Linked DNA regions of Xenopus tropicalis. The protein of the gene in region 3 binds, or shares a complex with, the protein of the main gene of each other region. Links are inferred from orthologs where the notes say so. Each region holds a gene or a part of one and is shown on either strand. Other genes may lie near its edges.

What was found. Proteins that work in one complex are often made in the same cells at the same time.
Region 1: taf8 (region 3) and taf4 share a complex: the UniProt entries of both Homo sapiens proteins name them as parts of the TFIID basal transcription factor complex. The link is inferred for Xenopus tropicalis from reciprocal best matches to the Homo sapiens genes TAF8 and TAF4.
Region 2: taf8 (region 3) and taf12 share a complex: the UniProt entries of both Homo sapiens proteins name them as parts of the TFIID basal transcription factor complex. The link is inferred for Xenopus tropicalis from reciprocal best matches to the Homo sapiens genes TAF8 and TAF12.

The regions. Positions count from the first base shown.
Region 1 is NC_030686.2:4,389,948-4,393,705, reverse strand, and holds the start of taf4 (transcription initiation factor TFIID subunit 4), read left to right. Parts: upstream 1-1,097; 5' UTR 1,098-1,111; coding exon 1,112-1,382; intron 1,383-3,181; coding exon 3,182-3,758. UniProt on the Homo sapiens protein: The TFIID basal transcription factor complex plays a major role in the initiation of RNA polymerase II (Pol II)-dependent transcription.
Region 2 is NC_030678.2:78,450,432-78,454,120, forward strand, and holds the start of taf12 (transcription initiation factor TFIID subunit 12), read right to left. Parts: upstream 2,876-3,689; 5' UTR 2,853-2,875; intron 1,273-2,852; exon of another isoform or gene 1,263-1,272; coding exon of another isoform or gene 1,191-1,262; intron 1-1,190. UniProt on the Homo sapiens protein: The TFIID basal transcription factor complex plays a major role in the initiation of RNA polymerase II (Pol II)-dependent transcription.
Region 3 is NC_030678.2:70,729,063-70,731,790, forward strand, and holds part of taf8 (transcription initiation factor TFIID subunit 8), read right to left. Parts: intron 2,319-2,728; coding exon of another isoform or gene 2,277-2,318; coding exon 2,162-2,276; intron 1,648-2,161; coding exon 1,549-1,647; intron 1,440-1,548; coding exon 1,377-1,439; intron 1,096-1,376; coding exon 971-1,095; intron 517-970; coding exon 369-516; intron 1-368. UniProt on the Homo sapiens protein: The TFIID basal transcription factor complex plays a major role in the initiation of RNA polymerase II (Pol II)-dependent transcription.

The DNA of each region.
Region 1 (3,758 bases), on a different chromosome or scaffold from region 3:
CCCCCCCCCCCCTCCAGTGATCCTTTGGGGATCCAGTTTCCAGTCATGACTTGTAGATCCACTAACCTATCATTTATTGGGGATTAACCCTCTAAACACTGTGCAGGGAAAATCATCACCCCATGTAGATTGTATCTATCCCTTATACAGCCCCATACCCTCTCTAGTTGCCCAGTTTGTTACCCCACAATGGGGCAGTCACATTAACCCCCGGCCATGTCCATTTCCCAAGGCCCATTGAGTACTTAGTCCCCATTACACCACTTCTTATAAATAAATAAATAATCTAGTAGAATTTCTATTTGGCTTTAACTCCCCCATCACCATAATAACCCCAATACCCCTGCCCAGATACTATACTGGGGTACTTATTGGCTCTTATACCTCCAAACACTGCCCTAGGGTAATCATTCACCCCCTATAACCCCCATTACACCCCCAACAACTCTACTGGGATAGCTATTCAGTTCCCAAGGGATATATATACTTATTTACCCATATGCCCCTCTTATCCACCCACATACCCCTTTATTTACACCCCCCTACACTCCTTCCCAGATACACAAGCTTCTCCCTGCCCATAGTCACGGGAACCACATTAGTTGTAAAACTACAACTCCCAGCATGCCCCTCCGCCTAAGCGGCACGGTCGGTAGACAGCGGATCCCACAAGCGGCAGTAGTGCGTTTGTCCGAGCCCTGTATGAGGTGTCCCACCCACCCGGTGACAGGAACGCCCCCTCCCTCCCGGTAACCCGCAGCGGGCGGCAGACAGGAGTGGCGGCGGGACACCCGCAGCAGCCATTTTGAATTGAGCAGACAAAGAGCGCGCGTTTCTGTGGCGGGGCGACTTTCTCCGCTTCAGGCGTCGCCACGCCACCCGGTTTCCCGCGCAGACCCTTCCCCGACCGCCCCCTATTTTTGTGCCTCCCTCCCGTTCCACCGACCCCGCTCGATCCCCTCCTGCCCTCCCAATACCGCTCGCAGCCATTTGCCCGCTCCTTATGTAGCCATGAAGCAGCCAATGGGAGCGCCGCTCCGGTGTGACGTAATTGCCCCGCCGCGCAGGCGCACAGAGCTGCTGCCCTCCTGAGTTGAGCGGCGGAGTAAAGATGGCGGCGGGTTCGGATCTACTGGATGAGGTTTTCTTCAACACGGACGTGGACGATAAAGTGGTCAGCGAGCTGGTGGGATCCCTGGAGTCTCAGCTGGCCGCCGCGGCCCACCAGCACCATCATCACCACCACCACCAGCAGCAACCCCCCGCCGAGGCCCGCAGCCAGGCCCTGGCTAACCATGTCACCAGCCCGGGGGTAGGGGCAGCCAGTGCGGGGGGACAGCCTGAAGCCAAGATAGGGCTCTCCCCGGAGGTGCCTAAGACGGGTGAGGCCTGGGGGCGCCGAGCTGAGCGGGCAGGGGGGCCGCGGGAATGTTTTGGCGGCCGGCGGGCTGACTGGGGGCCTTCAGGGGCTCTGCTGGGTGTGATGGGCCCCGGGAAACGCTCTGGGGGCCCCACATGGACTTCTGGAGTTGCTGCTCTTGGAAAACTGGATACTTGTACTACTTGGCGCCTGTGGAGTGACTTGGAGGGGGGCCAAGGGCTTTGGGGGGGCACATTGGCCCATAGGAAATAGAATTGGGGGTACACATGGACTCCTGGAGCTGCTGATGGCTGGCGACTGGATATTTGGGGTATCCGGCAGTTTCCTGGGGTAACCGGGCAGCCTGGGGGCATTTGGGGGGTATACTGGGCCCTGGGCAGCCTTCTGGCCAGTCTCACATGGACTCATAGAGCTGCTGATGGCTGGCGACTGGATATTTGGGGTACCCAGCAGTTTCCTGGGGTAACCGGGCAGCCTGGGGGCATTTGGGGGTATACTGGGCCCTGGGCAGCCTTCTGGCCAGTCTCACATGGACTCCTGGAGCTGCTGATGGCTGGCGACTGGATATTTGGGGTATCCGGCAGTTTCCTGGGGTAACCGGGCAGCCTGGGGGCATTTGGGGGTATACTGGGCCCTGGGCAGCCTTCTGGCCAGTCTCACATGGACTCATAGAGCTGCTGATGGCTGGCGACTGGATATTTGGGGTACCCAGCAGTTTCCTGGGGTAACCGGGCAGCCTGGGGGCATTTGGGGGGTATACTGGGCCCTGGGCAGCCTTCTGGCCAGTCTCACATGGACTCATAGAGCTGCTGATGGCTGGCGACTGGATATTTGGGGTACCCAGCAGTTTCCTGGGGTAACCGGGCAGCCTGGGGGCATTTGGGGGTATACTGGGCCCTGGGCAGCCTTCTGGCCAGTCTCACATGGACTCATAGAGCTGCTGATGGCTGGCGACTGGATATTTGGGGTACCCGGCAGTTTCCTGGGGTAACCGGGCAGCCTGGGGGCATTTGGGGGTATACTGGGCCCTGGGCAGCCTTCTGGCCAGTCTCACATGGACTCGTAGAGCTGTTGGTGGCTGGCGACTGGATATTTGGGGTACCCGGCAGTTTCCTGGGGTAACCGGGCAGCCTGGGGGCATTTGGGGGGTATACTGGGCCCTGGGCAGCCTTCTGGCCAGTCTCACATGGACTAATGGAGCTGTTGGTGGCAACAGACTAGAGATTTGTGGCATTTTAGGGTTTTGGGGGTGACTGTGGGGAGATGAGTGCTGTGTGGATCATTAGGGGGCAGTTTGTGCCCCAGGAGAAGATTTGGGGGTCCACATGAACTTTTGGCGCTACTGATGGCCTTGTTGTAGATACTTAGATACCTGGGATTTTCTGGGGGCTATAATGAGCCTTAATAAATGGACTTGGGGGGCAAGAGGCACTATATGGTCATTTGGGGGGGTGTGGGTGAAATTGCCTTATGTGGGGTATGTTCCCCGTGTACTTGGGGAGCTGGCACTGAGGGCACCGTCTATATGCCGCTCACTTACAAGGGGGGGGGGGGGGGTAAATCTTCCTGGGGGCATCATTGGGTTCTCTTGGAATGGTTTGGATTTCTGGGTGGCATGTTGGGTTGTGGGGTTGCCTAATGCCGCTTCTGAGGGGTCCAGTGGGCGTTTGCTGGTGGAACCAAGTGCTGGACCAGAGTGGGTGCACAGGGGTGGCTATCTGTATATTCCGGCGGGTGTATACCCCATAGCTCTGTTTCTTTCCCTGCTGTTTAAAAAAAAATGTCCTTTTTCTCCCACAGGAGCCGCTGTACCCGGAGTACAAGGAGGTGTCATTAACAGCCGCCCACAGACCACAGCACAGCCTGACGGGACTCAGTCTGCTATACCCGAAGCACCAGGAGCTCTTAGCCAGGCCAAATCTGGGGTTCTGGGCAACATGGCTTCCACTCTGCCCAACCACAGTTCAGGTAATGGCAAAAATGCCACCCTACAGACCATGAATGGGAGTAATGTTGTGATTAATTCACACGGACCTGGGGGTCACGGAACCCCCTACCAGGGGAACAGCAATGCCGCTGTCGGCCTGGTAAACAACGGACCGGCTCCTGTCGCTAAGGGTGGAGTGAACCCAGGAGCTAACACCGTTATCCAGACTTCTTTCCTTGGGACTACTAACGTGGCATCCTCAGTCATCTCCTCCTCATCCACATCCACTGCGGGAGCAGCTGGGCAGCAAGCTGGCATGGCGGGCGTACCCACCAGCGTGGCATTGGTGAGACCTCTGTTGCACCAGGGCGTGCCCGCCACTCAGAACGGGAGCAATACTGTGATCAATTCCCCTCTGTCCGCCCCTGCCGGGGTCTCGCTGCAAATGAA
Region 2 (3,689 bases), about 7.7 Mb from region 3:
AGCGCTACACATTAGAACTGCTTTCAGGTAACCTATTGTTTCTCCTACTCCCATGTAACTGTAGGAGTCCCAAGCCAGCGCTATCCTGATATCTATTGGGAGCTGATATCTTGCTACCTTCCCATTGTTCTTCTGATCAGCTGCTGGTGGGAGGGGGGTGATATCACTCCAACTTGCAGAGCAGCAGTAAAGTGTGACTGAGGTTTATCAGAGCACTGGTCACATGGCTGTGGCACCCTGGGAAATGAAGAATATGGCTAGCCCCATGTGAAATTTCAAATGTAAATATAAACAAAAATGTGTTTGGGTTTCTGAAAAACAGATTTCAATACAGGATTCTTTTCAAGAAGCTCTATTAACTGATGCTTTTTAAAAAAACATGTTTTCCCATGACATTATTCCTTTAAGAATGTGGGCTTTATTTTCACTTTTCCGCTATTGCAAATAAAGTAATCGGTCTGCTAAATAAAAACATACTGACAACCCTAAGCAAAAACCTGTCATATCCAGTGTAGAAAGCAATTATTAGGTAGCTTGTTGCTCTTTTGCTACCTATAAAGCACACCTGTGTTGGATTGGGTAACCCTGGGCCCACTGGGTAACCAACTCAGGAGCCCACAGCTGCTTCGCCCACAGCTACTCCTGCTTTACTTACTTACTGTTATAGGCTCAACTTTAGAACGCACACCGCCAAGTTTATTTTTTCACAGCAAGTAAGCAGTGGCCCACTCTGCTGCTTACTTGCTGTGAAAAAATAAAAGATGGCGTTCAGGTGGCAGGGCCCAACAGGGTTGGGGGGCCCACTGTTTTTTTTTTCCAGTAGCATGGTGAGCCAGTCTGACCCTGTAACCTAGTCCTATTATTTACCTACTCTGCCTGACTATCCAATGCAAAGTATAGTCAGGAAGAAACACCATAAAGGGCATAGGGGCATATTTACCAACACTTTGTAAATTTGCCTCAATACAATAGCTCATAGCAATTTTTTAGCTGTTAGCTTCAATATTTACAGTGTTAATTGAGTCCCAGTGAATAGATTTTCATTGGGAATACATTAAATACCAGCACATACAGTACTGTACACACACACACATTAATGAACGGCGCAGAAGTTGGTTAATAAGGCTGTATGGTACAGAGATACTTTGTATCACTATACAGTGGCTCATGCTAACACACTATTTACTTACAGCCAGTTGAGTATCTAGCTCTGTAATGACATCGCACACGGCGGTGGAACCGCTGAGCACACACGTCATCATCACCGGCCTTCTGCAGACAATAACAGCATCAGTTGGGCACATTGTATAAGGTTATTAGTATATATCACAGACTGAGGTGGACTGGGTTAGTAACGATGACATTTCACCAAGTTACTAGCTATAACTCAAAAATGATCCAAGGTAAGCTTACTTTCTTCTCATCTATTTAGAGAGTGTAATATTGATGTAATTTTATAGGCAAGACAATGCTCCTAACCGGTATGTTATTATACAAAAATTTTAAAGGAGACATATTGGATAAATGGGGAAAAACACTTATTTTGTAGGCAATTATGAATAATATACGGTGCTGGTTTCCCTTTGGGCTAAACATTAACCCTATCTGTAACAATGGCCCCTTTATTGGAGCTCCCTATAGATCCTATCACTTCTCTGTCCAGTGTGAAATGGAGAGTGGGCGTGTCCTAACAGTCCCTGCCAGAAGCACAGTAGGAGGGGGAGAGCCAATCACAGCCCTGCCCTCACACAAGCACAGACAGGCTTCAGTTCCCTATCAGGTCAGCCTAGCTGCTGATTGGTTCCTGTCCTACAGTGCAGGGTACTGAGGGCGGCTCCCCAGCTCATCCAGAGAATTCAGCCAGCAGGAAGTGGAACAGATGGGCGGGACTAGTGGGGTTTTGGTGGAATTTCTCAATAAATCAGTCTGAAACACAACATTTTTAAGCACAATCCTTCTATATCTAGAGGAGTATAATTCACTGGAACATTCATCATTTTTATAGGATATGTCTCCTTTAAGGAAAAACCAAACAACTGGCATATTGTTTTTGTTACCGATTTCTGCCTTTTGCTATATGTAGTGTAACCTATCCCCATTACACATTAAAGCAATGCAGGAAAAAAAATATTCAGAACAGAAGAGACTCCTGAAACAATGTAGCCAGCAAGTCCCATTTCAGTTCAACTAACTTCTAATACATTGTTTCAGGATTCCGCACCAGTGAACAGAAGATGCCCATACCTGGTGCACTCTTACCTTCCAGTTTGTGCCTGTATGTTACCCAACCACTTAGATTGTAAGCTCTATGGGGTAGGGATCTCCTTCCTACTGTGTCTCATACCACATGGCACTTATATATATATATATACATATATGTATTTATTGTATTTATTTATTATATCACTTGTCCTCCCTGTGTGTAATTGTGTATTCTGTAAGACTGTACAGCGCTGCATACCCTTGTGGCGCTTAATAAATAAAGTTATACATACATACATACATATAACCAGCGAGCCAGTCTGAAAGCGATTTATACACCACTGAAATTGTTTAACGTATATCTGAAAGTTGCAACGAACTGGATTCTAACAAGTTGAAATTGTAACCCTCCTGTGTGTATGTATATATGTTCCAATATACCTAAATACATAATACCGTGTGTGAGTCTCACACATGAGTGAGATGATTGGCACGGTACGTTACGTACAACCTGCTGCGCACTAGCACTTGCTGCACTGCTTTGCCGGGAGAGTAGGGACACCAAAGTGAGATACCCGGGAATCCCATACGTCCCGATTCTCGCAAGGAAAACCTGATAAAGCGACAATATAATCACGGAGTCCACATACCAATCTCTGCGCTTTAAGTTCTGCTGTCTCTCTCCCTGTTGGCGGACGTTACATCACACATTCTTTCCGCTCATGCGCAAATTCTTCTTCCCCCCCACACTTTATTTAACGGGAACAATCCAAAACTCAGAATATGCGCAGAAAACCGAAAAACATGGCTCCCAATACGCCGACCTAAACAAAAATTGCACCTTTTCTCGCGATTTTAAATGTAGCTGTGGACGGGAATTGGCAGTCCCATCATCCCTTCTATTTAGCATAATTTGCATATGGCCCTCGCTTGGCAATAAAATTAAAATGTAAAATACTGTTTGTTGTATTTATGAAAGTGAATTATCTTATATTTAGTGTATCCCGATCTAGCACTCATATACAATTATAGATATTTCCCTAACCGAAACTTTGTCGCCATATGTTGTGTAAGGGTTATGCTGCCCCTGGAGGTTGCAGAAACCAGATGATAGTTAAAAAGGGCTTGTGCCGTGTATGGCACATTGCGGGTCTCCCTTGTGGAGGACTGCAGTGCGGAATCGATATCAAGAGATTTCGAAAGCATAATTTTTGTAAACTGGGCTGCTAGAGATCGATGGTCTGGGCGCCCAATAATTAAGTTCAAAAACAGAGAAAATGAGGATGTATCAGCAGGAATAAGCATATTGAAGCGTATTAATTAATACACTGTGTTCCGCAGGGTTATTTTCCCGGCAACGCCTAGTGATCACGCAGAGGACTGATACTTTTTTTTATTTAAGAGTATCAATGTATGTAATACTGCCACATGCCTACAATAAACAAATAACAAAGCCGGGTTAAGTACTCAAAATCTCTCACTCGCTC
Region 3 (2,728 bases):
TCTGGAAACGGTAGTATTGGATTAACAGAAAATATGCATCATAACCTGCATATGAAGTTCAAGGCTTAACAAGCTGATTCAACCAATTTGGTGTTGCCAGTAATCAGTATTGAGCAGTTACATGCATTCAAATTATCAGAATTACAGGGGTACCCACATTTTTGCACAGCCAGTTTTTCACATTTGATTTAATTTCATACAACTAAATACTGCTTCACTAAAAATATTTGTTCAGAAAACACCCCATTTCCTGAGAAATTAAATACAAACCACTGTTATCTTTTCTGTTGAAAGTGGAGTAAATTATTATGCAGGCTAAGAGGGGGTTCCCAAACTTTTTTTATATGACTGTAATACAATTAACTCACACGGAAAGGTGCTTGTGTCATCTTTGAACAAACTCTGTGTCTCGCCTGTTTTAGCCATAAATCGGGTGAGGGCCCTTTCCACATCTCTACGCTGTGATGCTGCCTTCTCACGCAAGACTTGGTAATCACATACTGGTTCACGATAAGTCTAAGGAGAGGACTTTAATGCAGATAAACAAAATAATACATAGCATAGAACCCATTCAGAAGTCCTGAGGATCCCTTCATTAAAAGCAGTAGCAAACCATTTCCCTACAGGATTTACTGCTACCGTCATAGTAAAATCGCTGTGACCCTATAATAATTATTTTGCCTGCCTTTCCTTTTATCACAGCGATTAAGAGTTGTGCCTTCTTACAAGCAGTAGAAGGCTGCAACCAGCTGAAGTTACAAAAGCCACCTTGTTTCTCACTTCTCATTAAAAGGAAGTACACCTTCTAAGGGTAATATCACACCATGTGTTCTCTGCTTGCAGTATTACTATGATAATGTACATTCTATAGTAAGTCAATCAAGAAAGTAAGGCAATATATTTATTACTTTGTTCCTATGCAACATTCAGTACATAAACATACATTTATCTCAAAGAAAAACAACCTTACCGGTGTCTTAATGTATGTATGGGGATCTGGAAACTCGGGAAAATGGCTTGGAATATGAGCAGGGTGTTGCTTGTTCTGTCCTGCACTCAGAGCTTTAGGAACCACAGGATTGTTTGTCACAGGTGCTGCAAGAAAGAGAACTGTTAGAGAATAATTGGCTAAAATATGGACAAAACTGAAGCAGTCATGAGTAAACAGTGTGTATTTATGAATATTGTATTTATATAAATAATGTAAATGCAGTAAGGGCAGTTTCAGTGCCCTTACACAAGTGTTTCATGACACTTGTCACTTAATATGTTTTTTATGTAGTCCTGTGTTGTGCTAAACATTGTTTTTTTTTATACATTAGACAATGTATAGAGACAATAATTCAATATTCATATCAGGCACTTGCACAACCTACGTGCTGTTATCACCATCCTCTGGGACCGCTTGGCATAGGCAGGCAAACTTTCTACATTAAACCCTACAAAAAGAAACAGTGATGAATAACAATGCAAATAAATGTAATAACTGTAATGTAATAAATATAAATAACTTCTCCTTTCCTCTTTTCAACAATGTGCCTCTCTTACCCATTTCTATCAGAGTAACTACAATGTCTGGCAGCGTGGGCTGTGTCCGTGCAGTGTGTTCACAGTATGACTTGGCACTTCGTCCAATCTCTGACAGATCTAAGGTGGGGAGAAGCGAAATGAAAGGACAACTTATATGCAAATGAACAACATAAAAAATGCAAGTGATTAGAACATCATTAGAGAAGATCTTGGAGGAACCTGTCTTACATAAACCTTACACATTTAGTTTAGTATACTTTATGGCAAAGAAGGTTTAGAAAGAAGATTATAGATGCCTATTATTCTGGGAAGGGATTTCAAAAGACTGCCAAACAATTGGACAATCCTAACTTTCCTAAGGAAAGTTATCCACAAGTGGTGAATATTTCACAACTTGCCCACGGGCCAGGCTCTTCCAGCAAGTTCAGTCCGAGAGCAAAATGCAAGATGCTGAAAGTAGTCTCTAAGAGCCCCAGAATTCATAACATGACCTACAAGTATCTCTCACCACCACTGATGTCACAGTACAAGTGGAATGTGGTTTAATGTACAATTGCAATTAACAAGCGCGCAGTATATGCATTATTACACATTTAAAAAACACACATGTATAAAAGGCCGTCATACTTACAGCTCTGTAGCATTTCAGTTAAACTTTCTACAGCTGCTTTCTCTGCACTTTCAAATCCAGCCTCTGTGAGCAGGGAACTAACTACCACCTGCAGTGTCCTTCGTCTCGCCAACATGTAATTATCGGCAGGGGTGGAAGTCCCACGTGCACAAGACCTCTGGGGACATAAATAAAGAGGACTGATTAGAGTGAGAAACTTGAGGGCTTATTATTCCATAATGAGCCCTTATAAATGCATAAAAAAAACCACAAAAAGCCTTTTTCTAAATTATTCCATGCTAATTTTATTCAAACTGCAAAATTTACTGAAGCAATGGTTTGAACCAATCTAAAAGCCCAAGTAATAAGAAACACAAAAGAAATTCTTGAAGTTTCCCAATATGTCTTTATCTAAGTTTTAGCATCTTGAATCTGTGCACAAACAGAGATTCTTTGCCTTGTGTGTTTGTAGCTACTTAGTTGGCAGTAAAAGAAGATACAGGCATCTTTCTACCTAAAGTCCTAGGGTTCCCTTTCTCTTAACAGGAGACTAGAATATTACTGCATCATAGGCTGTTATCAGGGCTT